Linked DNA regions of Tamandua tetradactyla. The protein of the gene in region 2 interacts with the protein of the main gene of each other region in a biochemical or structural test. Links are inferred from orthologs where the notes say so. Each region holds a gene or a part of one and is shown on either strand. Other genes may lie near its edges.

Region 1 (10,170 bases), on a different chromosome or scaffold from region 2:
GGCCCAAGGTGGGTGATGGCTGGAGCCTCCCCTCACTAAGGTAATGCCTTGTGCTGTGTGCTCAAGCAGAGATGGGTAGGAGGATCAGGGATCAGAGGGATCAGTGATCAGAGGGACCCCTTATTCCACAGGAAGGGACCTCCCCCAGCATGGGTCCCAGGTTTGGACCAGACCAAAGCAAAGACCCAAGAGCCCAGATGCTGACACCTAACATCACTCAACACCAAGCCCCTGACCCTGAGCTATGAATCCATTTTCTTCTCTGGATCCCAGAGGTGTTAGCTGCCGACTGTCCAGACCTCCCATCTACTCCTTCCCTCCACAAGCCTGCTGCGTGCCAGGCACCACCCTGGGTATTAGAAAAAAGAAGGAAGAGACTCAAGGTTGGCAAGCAAGGTCGACACAGAGCCTAGGCTGACGAAGAGCAACAAGGAGGAAGTGCTAGACGGAGCATCCTTGGGGAGTACCTGTGAGCATGGTGGGGAGAAGAGAAGGAGAAAGAAGGAGGGAGGGCAGGGGCTTCTGCCTCTTAGAAGAAGGCCTGAGGAGCTCCCAGAAGCCTCTAAACTGATGCAGCTCAGACCACGACAAATGAATTGAGCTTTATGAGCTTGGTTTTTCTGGACTACCGGCTGGATTCTATCTGAGGGCAGGAATTACACCTCTCTCATTCACTGCTTTATCTCGGTGTATTGCCAAGTGGGGATGGGAGTAGAGCACTGCAGGTAAAAACAAGACCCAGCTAGGATTCGGACAAACCAATCAGTGATCTCTATGCCTACTGTGTTTTTGACACAAAGGTTAGGACAGTAGGAAGTTTCCTTTGTGGGGAGATGACATTTGTCCACAAACTATATATAAGACCAGTTCAAGATGGAGCTGAATTGTGTGGTCAAAACCAACAATTATTAACAGTGATTGTGAACATATATTGACTGCCGGGTATTAAGCCCAATGCTGTGTGGGAATTATCCTGTTCATTCCTCACATCCCCTCAGAGTCAAGCATCATGACCACGCCCATTTTGCAGATTAGGAAACTGAGGCTCATGTAGGTAAGGGGACCGGCCTGTTCAATGGGGTCCTCACACCGTGGGGTACTGGGATATCAACAGCCTCACTGACAAGCTGGAAGAAAGTGGGTCAAACCTCAAAGAAATCAAACTGCCGTACATCCTTCTCACTAACCTCCTGCTGCTCCTGGATGTAGACTGTACCGGAAAGGCCAAGGATTGGGATATGGAGCACCAACAATTTTAAAAGGCTTTTCTGCAGAGAAAGCAAAACACCAGCTCTGCAGTCTTCAGCCTGAAAGATGGAGGGCTTTAGCCAAGCTGAATCTGGATGTGTCTAGCAAGGACCACACAGCTGGAACTTATAGCCCTTCTGCTTCCTCAAACATACAGAGACCACCGGGACAGTCTTTTCCATGCAGCAGAAGAATCACCACCAAGAATGGGCTCAGCACTGACACAGGCATAGACATCTGGGATGTCCATCTGGGCCCTGGGTGGTCTAGGACACCAGGTGATGCTTACTCCAGGACCCTCCAACAACTACAGTTCTCAACAGGACTCCCTGGAATCACCATCTCCACAACAAAGGATGCAAATGCCTGGGTCCCAGCCCAGACCTACTGCATCTTCATATGTGACAAGTTCTCCAGGAGAGTATGACATTTGTGAGTGTTTCCTAAGCGGCCCTTCTCTTGACCACAGACCCAGAATCCCCTGGAACAAAGAGCAAGCATCTCTGTTCTCCATTAGAAGGAAGCCCATCTGCTGGCCTTAGAACCAACAGAGTCTTTCTCTATTTTCTTGTTGGGGGACTTTCAACTCAACAAATATCTTGGGACTTACTGGATGCTAACACATGGGAGGTACAATTGTTAACCGACCAGAAAGGGGCTGCCCCGAGGGAGCCTGACTTAGCAAAAGAGACAGACAGGAGGCAATGAACCCACTACCTCTCCACCCACCCATCCCTAATAAGGGCTTCTACAGAAGGAAAAGTATCCAAGCTAAGTCTCTCCCTGGGCAAAATTGTTTCATGTCTCTGAAGGCCTTTAAAAATAGTCCAGGACACACCACATGGGCCTGTTCCTAACTAAGACTTGTTGACTCAACTTCTCTCAAAGTTAACGGACTTGCCGAGAGAGGAGGGATGGATGAAATGTCCACCTCCTCCATTCCGGAATCTACCATTGTGGGCTTGCAGCCGAAATCCAAAAGCAACACACAAGAAAAGCCCTTCCTGACTTCTCTACATGTGCTCTGAGGTCTCTGATGAGACACGGCTGGGCAGCCAAATAGAACTGAGTTCAAATTCTGACACGACCTTGTGACTGGCTGTGGGATCTTGAGCACACCACTTCGCCTATCTGAGCCTTGTTTTCCTCATCTGTAAATGAGGATAGTAACAGTACCTGCCATCTGTAGGACTGTTGAGAAGAGTCATTGTCCTAACACATGCAAAGAGCTTGGCACACGACATTCTCAATGAGCAGGACACTGGCTTCTCCTGGCTCCTGGGGCCACTCCCCTGCTCCCCACCAGGATAAATACGCCCACTGCAGCCCATGCCCCAACACTCCTGCGTAGCCCACGGGGTCCTCTGCCTCTCCTGACATGGGGCCTATCTGCAGCCTGCCTGCTGATAGTTATGGGCCATATCCAGCCTGAGCCTAAAGATGGTCCCAGCACATGTCACAGATCAGCAGCCAGACCGGAAAGGATCACCCCCAAACTTGGGGGAAAGGGTGACAGCAATAAGAACAGAGCCTCTGGTTTTCGAAGCCTCACCCCTTTGCAGATCAGTTAGTGGTTGATGAGCTCCTAGCTGCAGAATTCAACTGGAGAAGGGCCAGTGCGTCTTCCTTAGCAGATAAGCACCCACTCAGGAAAGACCCCTTTGTTCCCAGCACATGGGATGAGGGACATGGAGATGAAACATGGGCTTGGATAAACCTGCAAACGTGCCCGGAAGACCAATGCGGGTGGGGGTAGGGGCTGGCAAGGGGGTCGGCGCGGGGGTGGGAAACAGATGTTGTGCAATGCACCACCAGAAGCTACCTCCCTTGCTTCCATCAACACCCTGGGCTGGCGGTCAATCCACTGCCTCCAGTACGGATGCTGGGGAGCTGGACCCACACAGCTGCTAGGTTATGGGCTCTGAATTCCAAGCTGAGTCCAGGAGCACTGACCCCTCCCAAATCAAATACCCACGCACAGGCCCTTGAACAACACAGCCATGTTCTCCTCAAGTGCCAGCCCCATAGAAAGACAATATGGTTAGGACCCAGTGCTATTAATCCCTGGCATGCCAGCGCATCTCCAAAGAATTGTAGGGAAGGGGGCAGCCAGAGAAATTGGAGATGCAGAGGAACTGGAGAGTTGTGAAGTTGGTGCAGGTGGACACACTGGGTCTGGTTTAGAAAAGTCTGAAATTTGACAGACTCTCCTCTTCCAGGTAGTGGTTAAATGATCGGATGACCAGATCACACACGGCTTCATAAACCCATTTTGTAATTGGGCAGGTAAAGATAGAAGAGGGGAGGTGAAATTTAGGCCAGAGATGAATTCAGACTGTAAATCCCCGCAGAAAAAAGGGTGCCCAGGACCCTTCCCCACCCCAGTCGCTGCCGCCCTGAGCTCTGACAAATCTCGCCACCCCACACACACGATCCGGGGCCAGGGAGGGGGCGACAGGCCAACCTCGCAGCAGCAGTAGCAGCAGCAGCAGCAGCATCGTGATGCATGAATCACCCATCCAGCCGGGCTCGTGCCAGTCGGCTCCGCGCAGCCGAAGCCACATTGCAACCAAGGGCCCCCTCCCCGGACCACCGTCCCTGCCCCACCCCAGCCCCTTCCCACAGGTCTGCAGAGAGGGGATCCGCGGGTGGGCCGGGGCTGTCCCACCGGTCCTGGTGGGGGGTGGGGGGTGCACTCTAGCACACTGACAGGCAACACGCGTCCAGAGTTGGGGGAGGGCGGGGGCTAGAACAATAGGGCCAGGTAGGGGGCTGGGGGCGCGGGCCCCGGAACCTCGGACGGGTCCCGCGTGGAGGCAGGGGATGGGACGACAGGAAGAGGGCTGCGGCGTTGAGAGGGGTGTAGAGCGGGAGGAGCGGTGAGGGTTTGGGGGTGATGGGGCGATGGGGGAGGGGCGCGAGGGAGAGCAGGAAGCGCGGGGGTGGCGGGTCGCTAGCGCATACACACTCACAGTAGGTTTTCCTGGTCAGCTCCTCCACAACTTCGGGCTTCAACTTGCTGTTGGATTTCCCCATCCTCGGCGGCCGCGGCCCCCGCCCCCCGGGCCGGACCCCGTCAGGGCGCCCAGTGGGAGCGGCTCGGCCGGCGCGGGCAGGGTCCGGCCGCGGGCGGGGCGCGCGGAGGGTTCGGCGGGCCGGCCGGGGGCCGCGCCTTTGTCTGCGCGGTGCCCGCGCGGCCCTGGCGCGGGGCTCCGGCGAGCTGCGATGCGCTGCTCACTGCTCCTCGGCCGCCCTGGGCTCAGCGCTGGGCCGGGGACGCGGGGCAGCTGCTCGGCAGGCCCGGGCGTGGGCGCCGGCCCTCCCGCCCTCTCCGGGCGCCGCGGCGCGGAGCTGCGCTGGGCTCGGCGCCGACCCGGCCGGCCGCTGTGTTGCCGCGGTCGTCCCTGGTTACTGGGCTCGGCGGCACATGCTCGCTACTGCGCTCCCTCGCGCCGCCGCCCCAGTGCTCCCCGCCTCCTGCCTCCCGCCCGCACCGGCGCGCCAGGAGATGGACGCGGAGCCGCCACTCAGCAGCCGGCGCCTCCTCCCGCCCCGCACCCGCTCCGCCAGGCCCTCTGCATGCAGAACGGGGGGGGGGGGGGCTCCGCAAGGATGGAGCCAGGGCCGGCAGAGGGGCACCCCCTTTCCCCCTTTCGTCATTACATCTGGGGGTGCGGGAAGAAGATCACACCCGCCACCCCTCTCCTCGGAGCGATCTTCCGCCCTTTAGCCCCCTCTGAGGGGGAGAGGGGCGGGGAAAGATCTGACAGGAATGAGGCCAAGTCCCTGCCCGGTGAAATCCATTCATTCCACACTATCCGTGGGGCTCTGGGACACCGCGGCAGACAATCCCGAAGGGGTCCTGGTCCTCACGGGGCTGGGGGCCTGAGGGCACGGCTACGCAAGCTGCGGCCTGCATGGTGAGGCACCTACCCGCGGCCTCGGAAAGGTGACCTCCATCTCGAGATGGTGACGGGAGTATGGTGGGGAAAATGTTCCTTCACCAAAAACCTTGAGAAGGGAGTGAGGACCGAATGCCCGAGGTTCAGGGCTCCAGAGAGAAGTGGGGTGGGCGTGTTGTGTGTGTGATATGATATGTGCCGCAGAAGGCAGGGCCTGGTAAGCCCCTCTCTCTTCGAGGAGGTGGGCCTCTGTCCAGGGGAGTGGATGAAAGGACTTACCAGGGGCCTGACAGGGTTGGATCTGGCCTCTGAGTTGGAGGTACGCTCAGAGGGCAGGAGCTGAAGGGAAGCGGGGGTGCAGGGGGTGATTGTCCAGGGTACCACCAGGATAGACAGAAGCAAGTGGGGCAGAGGATGGCAAGAGAGCCCCTCATGGCCTTCCCTGGCCACCCCATTTAAATGTCTACATGTTGAGACCTTTCCTATCCTCTTTCCCTGCTTTATTTTTTTCTCCCCTTAGCAACGATCACAAACTGAGGACATATTTTATTTACTCATTGTCTTTTTGCCTGTCTCCTCCACTAGAATCTGAGCTCCATGAGGCTCTAATGATTCTTGTCTTCTCTCTAGTTATATTTCCAGGGCCTAGAAGACCACCTGACATGCAGTAGGTGTCAAAACCCTTCTGAGCATGAATGAGGAACTGAGGAAGGAATGACAATGGTGCAGGAGGTACAGAGTATGTGGGAAGTAAGACCACTCTCAGGTCTGCAACAGCGAAGGATGAGGCAATGGGCAAGTGGCCCCTGCTGTTTGGAGACTCAGGAGAGCTAGGGAGACAGAGAAACCCTGACCAGGGTCGCCAATGCTTTCAGCCTTAAACACCCCTCCTACCTCCAAATGTGCTTCGCTCCAGCTTTTCCCCTGAAGGCCTGGCCTGGGCGGGGGCCTGGACTTCTAGACTGAGGAGGCCGGAGCCCCTGCTCCAAGAAGGCTTCCAATGGGGACAGACTTGCTGGCCTGTGCCAGCTCATTCTGAAGCGGTAGCTAGGCCCACAGTTGAGGGATCTGGTTTAGATTTGGGAGCAGGTGTCCCAACTGTGAGGACGAACTCAAACCCCTTAGTTGGCCAAGTCAGCATGAGCATGCTGCCTGGGAGGAGGGGGAGCTGGCTGGAGGCCAAGGGCTGCTGGGAAGACTGTGATATCAGGAGCAATTAAAGTTCTATAGCATTCCAGGTAGGTGTACATTCTGTATTTCTTGCCTGCTGCTCATGTGCCAGGTGTTGTGCTGGGCAGTGGGGCACTGCAGTGACCAACATGGTCTGTTTCGTCTGCGAGCTCATAGTCTAGGGGCAAATGGACCTGTTGGAGCCTTCACACACAAGCAATCATGTAATTACACTGGTGATAAATGTCACCAAGAGAACAGAGGGGGCACTGGGGGAACACACCCAGGAAAGCACCTGTCAGAGGGAGTCAGGGAGACTTAACAGATTCATTTGTTCATTCAGCAAATATTTACTAAACATCTACCGTGTGCCAAGCTGAGTCCAAGTTCTGGGGATCCCTATCATCAATTACAGACCTTGCAATTTAGTGAGGCAAGACAATATAAATAAACAAAATGCATGAGTAAAATATATAGTATACCAGAGGTGAAAAATTAAAATAAAGTAGGAAGAGGGTTGGGAAGTACAAGGACAGGAGGGTGTGAAACTTTAGATGGGACCGCCTCACTGGGCAGGCGCTATTTGCACAATGACCTGAAAGAGGTGGAGGGGAGCTGAGGGATATGCATTGCCCGGGCTGTGCATTGGCATCCAGCTGGCCATCTATGGTCTCAAAGAAAGGCATAAGTGAGGTTGGGGTTCAGAGGGCAAAGCAGAGAATTAGGAGATGAGATCAGACTCCAGGAATCTTTCTTGTGTTTAGCCAGATAACTCAGGCTATTGCATGAACAACTGACTCCAGGCAGGCCCAGGATAAGAAACAGGACCTGCTGGAGGCCATTACATCATCCAGAGAGGAAATGGTGGTGGACAGGACCAGGATGGCGGTAGTTAACACTGACAGAACTGGTAGATTTGGAAGATAGAGCCTAATAGACTGGATGGAGGGTGGGGGTGGGTAGGGGGCAGGTGAAGAGACACTGGAGTCCAGGACAATGCCAAGGTTTTTGTCCTGAACAACTAGGAATTTCCATTTGCTAAAATGGGGAGTGGACAGTTTTGGAGACAGAAAGAGGAGAGGTCTTGTTCTGGACATATGAAGTATGAAATGCTTGTTAGATACCCAAGTGGAAATATTGAAGAAATAGGTGATACGGGAGTCTGGAGGAGGGAGCTGAATAGAAGCTGGCCAGGCAAGGGTGGCCAAAATCTTCCAGGCCATGAGGACAGCATGTGGGAAGGTACTGAGTCTTGGGACCTGGCTTTTGACCCAAAGCCTCCCTGCCCGTTTGGGCTGAAAATGCCTCTGCCTGAGCTGCCTTCAACAAAGGGCTCAGATCAACTCTGATGCCCTGGTCACTGTCCTAAGAGTAGTGGTTTCAGTTCTGTCTGCCACACAGGAGTTTGTTTTTTCAGCAAAGAAATGTGCACAGCCAGTCTTCAACCAAGGGTGACACGACCAGATTTGCACATTGAGAAGATTGCTCTGGCTGCGGTGTGGATCGGAGGGCACAGGGTGAAGACAGAGAACCCAGTTGGGGGCTGTTCTCAAACATGTGGGAGGCTTGGGCAGGAGCGGCCTTTGTCGAGATGGAGAAGTGGAGGAGTCAGGGAACTTGAGTGGCAATTGACTAGATGGTGAGGGCAGGTGGGGGGGTGAGAAAGGAAAAGCTGAGTGCAACTGCATGGCATGGGGGCTTCAAGGATGGCTCTCTGGGGAGGAGGAGTCAAGGGCAGCTTCCTGCTGAGGTTGGGGACCTGGTGGGAAGGGTCTAGGATGGCTCATTGGGGGTGGCAAGGATGGATCCCTGGTGGCTGTTACTATCACCTGGGGAAGGGATGCATTCTTGGGATAGGGTCCCCTGAGTTGGGCTTGAATGTCATAAACTCAAATGTTGGGTCTGAGATGTCTGTGAGATACACAAATAAGGATGTTGGATTTTATGTTTAAAAAACAAAGCAGGTTATAAATCAGTGTAAATAGGCTAATCAAATTAAATATATAGACGTGTTGAAAACAGTCTGAAGGATATATCTCGAGGTGTTATCAGTTATTTCCAGTAAATTAAGATTACAGGTAATTTTTATTTTCTTCTCTTCTCCGTATTTTATATACATTGCTTTCTGGGAGGAGGGGGAGCTTTGCTTTTAAATAAGAAGAATAATTTATCAGATCATTTTGCACATCTGTGATAGCCAAGGAAGCGCCTACCTGAGTCGCCCAGCTGTGACCCCTCAGAGAGCTTGATGATGACCCAGATTGCCAGGCTCCACCCTAGACAGAGTGAACCTGAATGAGGTGGGGGTATGCCTGGGAATCTGCTTTTAACCCAGCCTCTAGCTCTCCTCCTTGCCTTTCAGTAAAGGTCTCTTCTCCTAGTGTATAAACTCATCTGGGAGAGTGGCCCCATAAACTTATTCAGTAGTCCTTCCATAGGGGAACAAATTGTACACATGTGGTGGGTGGAGCCCTGAATTAAATCTTCCTTTAGGTCGCAGCATTCTGGGCCTCACCGACCACCCCTGCCAGAACAACAGCTCCAGCCTGGATCTCTCTTCCCCTATCTTAGTCTCGTATCCAGTGATTCAGGGGTGTCTACATTTTGGGGGCCCCATAAACACTTCAAACTCATCAGGCCTGGAACATAACTCATCACTTCCCATAAAGAACCCTTCTCTGCCTGGGCAAATGGCCCCTTCTATATCCAGTGGGTCCAGCCAGAAATATGAAACATCCTTAGCCCCACCCTCTTCCAAGGGATAGCACACCCCCCCACACATCCATTCAACCATACCTAGTTCATTGGAATTCATTCCCTAAATAGCCCTCAAGGCTGAACGCTTTTGTCCTTCCCCACCAGAACCATTCTAATCCAGCCACTATTACCTCTCAAAGCCCAACTACCACGCAGCCACCTCAGAAGTCTCCCCATAGCCTTGCTTGGCCCCTCTCAAATCCTGTGTTCTTAACACAGCCAGAATGAGCTTTTCCCAGCACAAACCTAACCCCTTTTTTCCCCATTTAAGCTTCTCATTGCCATCTGGAGAAAGCCTTGGCTCTTTGTAGGGCTTACAAGCCCCCAGCTGACCTGACAGAAACCACCTTCTCTCCTGCCTCACCTCTTGATTTCTCTGAAGCCAAACTCTCAGCCTCCAGGCCTTTGCAGAGGCTGTTTCTCTCTGCCTGACCTGCTCTCCCTGCTTCCCCTGTCCTAGCTAACACATCGCCTCTTCCAAGGAGCCTTTATTGGACGCCCCACCACCACCAGGTGAGTTCAAGCTCCCCTCTTATATACCTGCCTGTAGCACTTTTCTGTTTCCCAGGTCTGGGTAGGAACAGGGATGCAAATGGAGGATGCCCAGGATCCTCCTGCTAGGAGTGGGGGTGGGGGTGCTGCAACTTGGCCCCAGAAGGAGTGGGAGGAGGAAGAGGGGTCCCACTGAAACCCCAGCGTGGAGCACAGTGTCCTAAGGCTGGGGTTCCGTGCAATGGGTTCTCCATGTGGCTCTTGGCTGATCACTTTCCCATTTTATAAACTAATCTGGGGGGAAGGGTTTATAAAGATAAAAAACTCTTGTACAAGCACATGACAAAGAGTTATATATCTTTAATCTTTTAAGAGCTTTCTAAACCAATAAGAAAAATATGAGTGCCTCAATAGAAAGTCGGGGAAAGGAACTTGTGTTAGTCTGTAAGCTGCTGGAATGCAATATACCAGAAATGGAATAGCTTTTTAAAAGAGAAACTTATTAAGTTGCAAGTTTACAGTTCTAAAGCCATGAAAGTGTCCAAATTAAGGCATTGAGGGAAAGATAACTTATCTCCAAAGAAAGGGCCGATGAAGTTCC
Region 2 (9,223 bases):
TTCCCATCCCTACAGACCGCAAAGAATCCCCCTGCCATTTCCTCCTGGAAAAAGTGAAAATCCCTGCAGGTGCCATCAGATCACAAAAAAAATGCTCCAACTTGACTACGTTGACACCTGTACAATGTATATTTAAGCTCAGCCTTTTCAGAGGGCCTCAGTGAGTCTCCTCTTCTCCCACCTCCCTGCACTGCCCCCACCTCCCCCATACCACCCAGCAGCTTCCAGGTCTGGGTTTGGAACAACACAGCAGCACAGCCTCTTCTATCCCAGGGAGGAGGGAGAGCCCAGGCCCAAGTGCGTCATCTCTGGCTCCTCCTTGTATATCTTCGGCAAAGAAGCAGTTCCCCTGTCTCCTAGGGAGAGAAGAAGCTGCACCGTCCCAAGGGGCATCCCAGCTGCCAAGTGTGTCGATTTAACCCATTTATCAGATCGAGGTGAAAGGGATAAGAAAAGGGAAAATGTGCAGGTCACAAGGGCAAGGTTCTCTCCTTTTTCCGGACCCAAACAGAAGCAAACCAAATGGCTGAATCTTGTATCTTTACTCCTCCGCCCACATGCACTGACACTATAATCAAGCTATTTTCCAAGCCCATGAATTTAGATAATATGAGTCTATTGCTAAAAAAAATAAGAAAGAAATCTTCAATTGTATGGTGATGGGAGAAGGTGAGAGGCAGGGGTGTATTAACATTGGCTTCTAACACTGTTAGAGTAATTAAGGAGGCTGGAGATAATTAATATCAGTCTGCCACCCAGAATTGGTAAATAAGCAACTTGCACACCCTTGGTGGCTCCATTTAGTATCCTGGAGAGCTGAGTGCTTACACATAATCTCAAAGCCCTACTGAGTGGCAGGGACAAATGGTGCTGGGGTTCAGCAATATGACGGGCTATGTACAGGGGAGGGTGCCTGCTGAGAAGCTGAACCAAGCTGAACCCTTCTTGCTGCCTGTGGTTTCCAAGCACTTCCTACATGCAGGATGCTCTTCTTCTATGCAGAGTCCCCGCAGGATAGAGAAGCTTTGTTCACTTAATCCAATCCTGGTGTCCTGGAACTAGAAAGCTCATTTCACTCCTTTTGGGGAGTAATAACAAGAAAGAGACCACCATATTTCTAGACTAAGGGTACAGCTGCCCTGTTTGGTGTCCCAGGCATCCAGGATGACCTCTGAGGGGCCAAGTAATCCAAGCACCTAAAGTCCTATAAATTGTATCTCAGGGAAATGTGACTGCCTGGGCAGTCATATCCATTTACTTAAGACTCAGCTCTTAGGTCACTGTAACCTACTGATACACAACTTGAGTCTGGGACATATCACAAATATGGCTTGGGTCCTGGCATCATAAAACCTCAAGTCTGATTCTCTTCTCCCTTCCTAGCTGCTGAAACACCTTCACTGCAGGAGATTCATAAGGTAGGGAGAAAAGGGAAGTGAGAGGTCACAAAATGTGAATTACTGGAAGGGGCAAGGCTGACCCAAGGAGTTCTTATCATAAGGCCCAGCTCCCCACCCCTACCACACTCTCTCTGGGCTATCTTCACAGCCATGCTTCTTCCTCAGCACCAAAATGCAACTTTCACTTACAAATGAGATGGAGTCGGCTCTCTCCAGGACAGAGCCCACCTGCCTTTCCCCGGTTTATTCAGAGAACGATGACCTCAGACCAGCCTGGCTTCAACAGTCAATCTCAGGAGTATGTAGCATGGATTTCTGATGAGATCATGAGCTTCCCTTTATTTCCCATGTTACAGGAGGAGGAACAGAAGGGTTTCTTGCAAGATTGGGTTCTCTTTCATCATTCTCAAAATTATAATTGCATGTTATAGACAGAAACAACCCACCCTTGAAGGCAGGGGTAGAAGACCGATTAGCCATAAGTAAGCATCATTCCTGGCCTATTCATCCATTGCAAGCTTTCTAGCTTATGGAGCACCAGAGCCAAATCAAAACAATCAATATGTCACTGCCAGCAGGGCACAAGTGGCTTCCAGCCTTGGGGAACATGACGTGCTACCAGGTTGAACTAATCACTCCTTGGTATTTCAGGAGTGGCTGGGTTAACAAACCACAGCATATACACAACGAAAGACAGTAATTTCCCCAGAAGGGGTAGGGTACAAAGAATGTACTGAGTCCCCCCAGAATAAGGGGGGAGTTAGTATTTACTCAAATCAACCTGAAGCCATGTTGGTGATTTTTAGAAAGGTAAAAAACAAAGCAAACTATATATATATACACACACACATATGTTTTTGAAAGATGAAAAGCCCAAGAGGATCTTGAAGGAACAGAAGAGATTTAGTTGCATCCTTCATAGCAGTACAGGGATTGAATTAAGGGACTGGTCTCTCCACCAACAATCCTATGGCTGAAGAATTTAACATATATAAATTCAGGAGGCAAGGGGTCAATTAAATACCCTAATCATGCTACCTCTAATCTGAAGTTCTGAATTTTAAAAAGAATAGATCCCTTAACCCACTGTGCATATGAATCGCCCAGAAATCTTGTTAAAATATAAATCCCTGGAACTCAGTTTGAGATCCTCATCTAGTAGAGCCATGGAAAAAACAAAAGTATGCATTGTTAACAAGCTTCCTGGATGATTTAGATGCATAGAGTTCACGGGAGAAAAAAAAAACATTTGGAGAAATGTTTTCTTAAACCTCTAGAACAAATCAGAATCCCCCTTTTCCAGACACCTTTCACCCCCAGGCTGTGCAGGGAAGGCAGAAGGAACTGAGAATCTTCTTCAAGAGAACAAGGCCTGAGATGCCATGGCCCCAAATGGCTCTGGATCCAATTGCTCCCCAAACCTTTCTCCAGTCACAAGGTTGAGTTCAGAGAAAGCACCAACCCCCCCGCAGTCAAATGTGCCAAGAATGTTGAACACCAAACAGAGAAGTCAAAGGCAGGAGACTGGGACCCAGCAAACAATCTAAGTGAATTCTCTTGAAATTGGTCACATTCACCACCGCCCGTCTCTCTGCCCACCCTCATCAAACAGCAGTAACAGGGGAAAAGATGAGGATTATCATTTCTTTTTCCAGTTATACTAATGCTGCAGGATGATTCAGGGCTAAGCACAAGTATTTGCATCCAAAGAGGGTTGAATCATTGAACATCTAGTTCCTTGGGAAGGAGCAAAGATTAGCCTGGAAGGTCTGTAGCCTGGTCTAAATCCGGATATGGTGAGACCTGGAGAAGGCTGGGAGGGTGGGGAAAGAGGTCCACAGGAGAGCTTTTCATCTCACCCAATCTCAGGAGCCCCCAGCACAGAAAGTAGTGGAGTATCAGGTGGGGCAGGAGTGACTCGCTCAGAGAGAGTTCCTGTGGTTAGAAAGCAAGGCCCTGTCCCTCCGGGGCTGCAGCCCGATGACTCGTGCCCATGGCGAAGCCTGTTTGTAGACGCGCGCGCACCGTCTTACCTCTGATTTTCCAAAGGAACCGCTCCCAAGCTGCCCGCCGCAGACAGCGATGGGGGACGCGCTCTGTGTGGCGCTTAGAGCTGCCGCTTGTCTCCGCACACCACCCTTTCGGGCTCTTGGTCCATTCCAGAGCCGAACGGTCACCCTCCGCTACTGCCCCCACCACCTTCACTCCCACTCCCAGGCCGAGCTGGGTCTGAAACCCCAGACTCCTTCCCCGACTAGATCTCAGACAGAGAAGAGGAAGGAGAACGAAGAATCAGAACCCAAGGACAGCGGACAGGCTAGGGAGTGGGAAGGCGACGTCAAAACTGGCTTCTCCCCCATCTCTGGCTTCTGCCCTTAGGAGAAATCTCAAGTCGCTAGAACGAGGAGCTGCCGAGAACAACCCTTTTCCCTCCTGAGCAATCGGAAACTCTGGCCGCTGGCCCTGGGGTGCCGGACTCGGGAGCTGGCAGTAAAGTGCCAGCGGGAGATGCTCGGTTACTGCGGCTCGGGGAGCTCGCTCTCCGCGAGCCCGCCTGTCCCCCGGGTGAGATTCCCCGTCCAAGCGGGGCTGAAAACTACCGAGAGCCAGTGAGAGGGGCTCCGGACCCTGCGGGCAGCCACCGGGCTCCGGAACTCCCCGGGGAAAGCCGCCCGACGGAAAGTCCGTGGAGAGCGCGACCGCATGCGGGGCGCCACGGGCAGACGACAGGAGAGTAGTGGACAAAGTTCTGGTCCCGGCCGTGCCGCCCTCGGAGCGCTCTTCTCTCTCTGCCCACCCGCCTCGACCGCTGCGCCTCTCCTGCCGCCGGCGCTTACCTTCAAGCCATAAGGCGCCCGGGGGCAGAGGCGGCGCCGGCTGCTCGAGGCTTCCGGCTCCCGCCGCATCCACACGCGGCCGCCCCTCGGCAGCCGTCCGGGGCCGCCGCTCTCGGACCCCCTGGTCGCGCCGCGCCGTTTAGAGCCCGGGCGGGCAGCCGCTCGGCTGGCTCCCGCCCGCGGGGAGCAGTGGACGGCCGCGGCGGGACGAGGCGGGGCGGGGCGGGGCGGGGCTGGGCGGCGGGCGGCGCGGAGGCGGCGCGGGGCGCACGGGAGGCGACAGCTCCAGCACTGTGGTCCGACAGCTCCGCCGCGCCCGGAGCGCGGGGAGCGCTGGGGAGAGGCGGGGCCGCGCTGGCCACGAGGCGCTCCGGGCCCCGCCCCTGGGACCAGGCCCCGCCCCACTCGCGCGGGTTTGTCGGCCAGCTGCGTGCACCTGGACCTGGAGGAAGTGGCTAGCGGCTTCGTAGTTCCCAGTTTGAGCAGGTCAGGTGGCCCAGAGGTGCCGTTCGGAACCGAGCCCTCTATGGCCTACTCGTCGAGCATCCTCACTCTCCTGAACTCGTCTGTTTCCTCCTTTGAGGAGTCGGAGCATAGGGTGCGGGGAGGCGCTGGGATGGAAGAGTAGTAGGAGAGGTCCAGGGTCCGTTTTCCGACTTTTGTCCTTGGAATCCCTGTGGTCACTTCTGTTGCTTTACTCTTTCAGAGGAAAAGCCTGCTTGGAGTTGACCTAAGGTGGTAATTCAAAATTCAGAGAGCCTCCGGGACTCCAGTTCATATTTGACTCCAGGGGACGCTGACCTACTGCTGTGCTCTGTCCAGGGTAATTTGGGCTGCTCCTCTTCCCTTTTTTCCCTTTTCTTTCTTCTTCAGCAGTTAGTTGACTATCTCTTCTTTGTTGGGCTCACAGAGAGGAAGAAAACCAGGCCCCTGTCCTGATGCCCTGCTAATCCAGAGTGGAGACCCACGGGGAAATGCCTGGAGCAGATCTCAGCACAAAGGAGGGAGGCTTTTCACAGGGGCAGGGCACTGACAGCATTCCAGGTAGGGGGGCCAGCACCCCGAAAACCTGACCAGTTCGCAGAGTGGCCAAACTGTCACCCAGAGCCACAAGATAAAATTTGTCTCAGTATTTCCTCCAGTGACCCGCATAATTATGGAAATGGCTTCAGAGGGGGAACTTGGGCCCAGAGAGATGGCATGACCTTCCAAATCCCACAGAGATCCAGTGGTGGGCCAGGCCCCATCTCCTGAGGTGCAAACCAGCACTTCTCACACTTAGCTCTCCTGAGGCCCTGAGGGAGAGGCTGTAAGTAGGCATGAGCCTCGCCCCCTCCCCAAGCGTTTGGCTCTATCCTGCGGATCCTGGCCTGTACCTCACAAGCTTGATGGAGATGATCTGGAATCTAAACATTTTGCCATATTTGCTTTGTTCTTGTTTGTTTGCATTGGAGCGGGTTTTTTTTTTGTTTTTTTTTTTCGGTGCTGTTGTTTCCATATTTGCTTTTAGAGTAATAGACATTAGAGATACGGTTGAATATAGGGTTCCCCTCCTATACCCTTGGATCTTCATTCTAAGATTTAATCCACTTAAGGAGGGACTTGGTGCCTCCCGATTCAGTGCCTCTACATCAGCCTAGAGACAAGGTGGACTTCCTACTGGACCAGATCAGAGGACGTAGGCTGGTATCCTGCCTCAGCACCTACTAGTTGTGTCATCTTGGCTGCATTATTTAAGCTCTCTGACTCTCAGTTTCCCTGTCTTTATTTCCAGGCTACTAACATCTATTTTTTTCAGCTACACTGAAGACAACAGAAGTGGAAGCGTTAGACAAACTGAGTATGTGTGACCCCTGGCTGACCCCAGTTGCTCTGAGCAAAGGAGGGTAGCCTGGCTCAGTCAGGAGGCCCAAGGACACGGTGGCTTTACACTGCCTTTTTTACCCCAGTCTTGCACAGCTGAGTGGATTTCATGCCGCTGCGAGTGAGACGGATGGATCTTTTCATTTTCAATTAGCAAATGCCTCGCTGTTCAAACAGGCGGCACTGCAAACAGATGCATGGGGTGATGGGTGACAGGAGCAGCTGCGGCCAGGCACGCGGCTGCACTGCAGGCTCCCACCTCCCCGGCTGCCAGGAACCTGTGGGGGGCATCGAGAGCCTCCCATTGCCCCCAGGCAGAACAACCCAGCCCACGTGGGTGGGAGTAGGGTGTCCCTTATAGCTTTCCAGAAAGGGGGCCTCGGCCTCATCTGTATATTCCAGAGCCCCAGAGTCAAGTTCTTCCTGATAAGCCAACTCAGACCTTTATTGCTACCCTTTTCATTGTTGAAGATGGAGTAGGGGTTAAGGATGGGTTTTGAAGTCGGTAGGGGTTTTGTTAACCCATTGTAATAAGGAAAGAAAGAACTGAGCAAACAGACAGTAAGGGAGAAATATAATCCCCTCTTCTACTCTAAGGACTGCCCTCCGAGATGGAAAATGAGGGATGGCTGGGGCATAGAAAGGAGGATGCACCCACAGAGAGACACAGGCTGCCACATATTATTCCACAGCAACAGGCACTTATCTGAGGAGTCAGGAGGCAGAAGAGGGTGAGGTAAGCAGCACTTCTGGAGATGCACCAGACTGTGGTCAAGTCCCCACTCTGTATCTTTGGGAAAGTTCTGAATGTTTTTGAGCCTCAGTTTCCTCAACTGCAAAATGGGGATAAAGAGCCATATTGCAATATAATCAGGGGGATTAAAGGAAAATAACAACTTTTTGAACTAGGGTGTTCTTATCCCATTTGCAAATGACTCTGGGGACACTAGGGGGGTTTGCTGGTCTGGAAGGAAGTATGCCCCCTAGAAAAGCCATGTTTTAATCAAAATCCCATTTCATAAAGGTAGAATAATCCCTACTCAATACTGTATGTTTGAAACTAATCAGATCATCTCCCTGGATGGTGTGGTTTAGTCAGGAGTGGTTGTTAAGCTGAATTAGGTGATGACATGTCTCCACCCATTTGGGTAGATCTTGCTTGGTTTATTGGAGTCCTATAAAAGAGGAAACATTTTGGAGAATAGGAGATTCAGAGAGAGCAGAACGACATAGCCATGAGAAGCAGAGTCAACAAGCCAGTGACCTTTGGAGATGAAGAACGAAATGCTTCATGAAACAGGAAGCCAGGAGAAGAAGCTGGCAGACGATGCCATGTTCACCATGTACCCTTCCAGATGAGAGAGAAACCCTGACTGTGTTCACCATGTGCCCTTCCACTTCAGAAAGAAACCCTGAACTTCATCGACCTTCTTGAACCAAGGTATCTTTCCCTGGATGCCTTAGGTTGGACATTTCTATAGACTTGCTTTAATTGGGACATTTTCTTGGCCTTAGAACTGTAAACTAGCAACTCATTAAATTCCCCCATTTAAAAGCCATTCCATTTCTGGTAAATTGCATTCTGGTAGCTAGCAAACTAGAACAGGGGGTCATCCACCTGGGTCAGAGGAGGTGTGGAAAAAAAAGAAAATGAACTCTGCCCTTTATACCTTTATTATTTCCCTCAAAGCACAGAACATCTTACAGAAGGGCAGAAACCTTGCTTACTGCTTTCAAGATACTCCATTTAAGGAACTGAAGATATACTAGGCTTATAGTCCTGAGGGAGAGATGGGGAGGGAGAGGATTTTTCCCAAAGCATGGGCATAAGGACACTTTGTCTGACCAAGCCAGGAGTGCAGTGAGAGTTACTTGAGAGTTTTGACATTTGCATGTGTAATTCACTCTTTTTCTTAATGTACTTTTTTTTTAATTGAGAATCTTCACACACATACATTCTATACATGGTGTATAATCGATGGCTCACAATATCATCACATCGGTGATGTGATTACCATGATCATTTTTTAGAACATTTGCATCACTCCAGAAAAAGGGATTAAAAAAAAAAAAGGAAAGCTCATACATACCATACACCTTACCCCTCCCTTTCATTGACCACTAGTGTTTCCATCTACCCAGTTTGTAATTCACTCTTAAAGAATTATTTCCTCACTGGTAGAATGCATTGGTCTTGCACATCACTGTGAAGTGGACATTTATATTGTTGCTTGCATCCTCCTCTTCTGGAACAACAGAGAATACAGGTGTGACCCACTTTAAGAAATTCTATTATATAATTCTCCAGTTACAAAACAGATCAATTAGAGTGCAGTTATCCATACAGCAAATTTATTTAATTCTTTGATGGGAAGAGGTCATAAAATTATACACCTTGCAAATCGGTGGCCACTGCAGTCACCAATATATACAATAAAATAAAATAAAATATCTAAGAACTACCATTTGTATAGGTGTGAAAGTGGTTTGACTTTAGGAAACAATTTATACACACCATCTTCAGTTGTATTGAAGTCTAATCAGTACTGTCTTGGATTTCGTCAGCTTCTGCTATAGATAATAAAGCACTTTCTCACCTGTTATCTCATTTAGCTTCTGAGAGCCTTGTGATGTCAGTAACGTCATTAGTTTGGGAGAGCACTGGAAAGATTACCAAGGGGCTTCCCCTTCCAGAGGATGGGAACAGGCAATGAAACCAGGATGATAGTTTTCATGTCATCTGCAAATGCAAGGACCATTCAGCCACTGGGGTGTAGGATGGAACTGAGCTGTCCAGCTCTCAGTTGTGAAGTTCTTTCAAACTTTCTTCATTTGAGCATGAGAAAATAAGGAGAAGAGATGCTTTTAGTCTATACACTAAACAGCAGAATTTGGAACTCTCTGCCTGACAACCTGCTCCTCTGCGTGTGTGTCCTGCCTCTGAGGACTTGAGGACTATACCTCGCAGCTGCTCATGCCACAGCTTGCTCCAACAGTCTCTGTATCCATCAGGAAACACAGATGTAAGAGACAGAAACAGCTCTGGGCAGTTTAAGCAGAAAAGCAATTCATTGAAACTATTGTAATAGCTCCCAAAATCAAGGGGATGATTAAAGAACCAGG

What was found. The genes of interacting proteins can lie anywhere in the genome.
Region 1: the proteins of DRD2 (region 2) and NCS1 form a complex in vitro, tested with the Homo sapiens proteins (2 studies listed by BioGRID, with this or other methods). The link is inferred for Tamandua tetradactyla from reciprocal best matches to the Homo sapiens genes DRD2 and NCS1.

The regions. Positions count from the first base shown.
Region 1 is NC_135328.1:53,088,938-53,099,107, reverse strand, and holds the start of NCS1 (neuronal calcium sensor 1), read right to left. Parts: upstream 4,346-10,170; 5' UTR 4,285-4,345; coding exon 4,221-4,284; intron 1-4,220. UniProt on the Homo sapiens protein: Neuronal calcium sensor, regulator of G protein-coupled receptor phosphorylation in a calcium dependent manner. Directly regulates GRK1 (RHOK), but not GRK2 to GRK5. Can substitute for calmodulin. Stimulates PI4KB kinase activity.
Region 2 is NC_135334.1:27,596,307-27,605,529, reverse strand, and holds the start of DRD2 (D(2) dopamine receptor), read right to left. Parts: upstream 4,324-9,223; 5' UTR 4,238-4,323; intron 1-4,237. UniProt on the Homo sapiens protein: Dopamine receptor whose activity is mediated by G proteins which inhibit adenylyl cyclase. Positively regulates postnatal regression of retinal hyaloid vessels via suppression of VEGFR2/KDR activity, downstream of OPN5.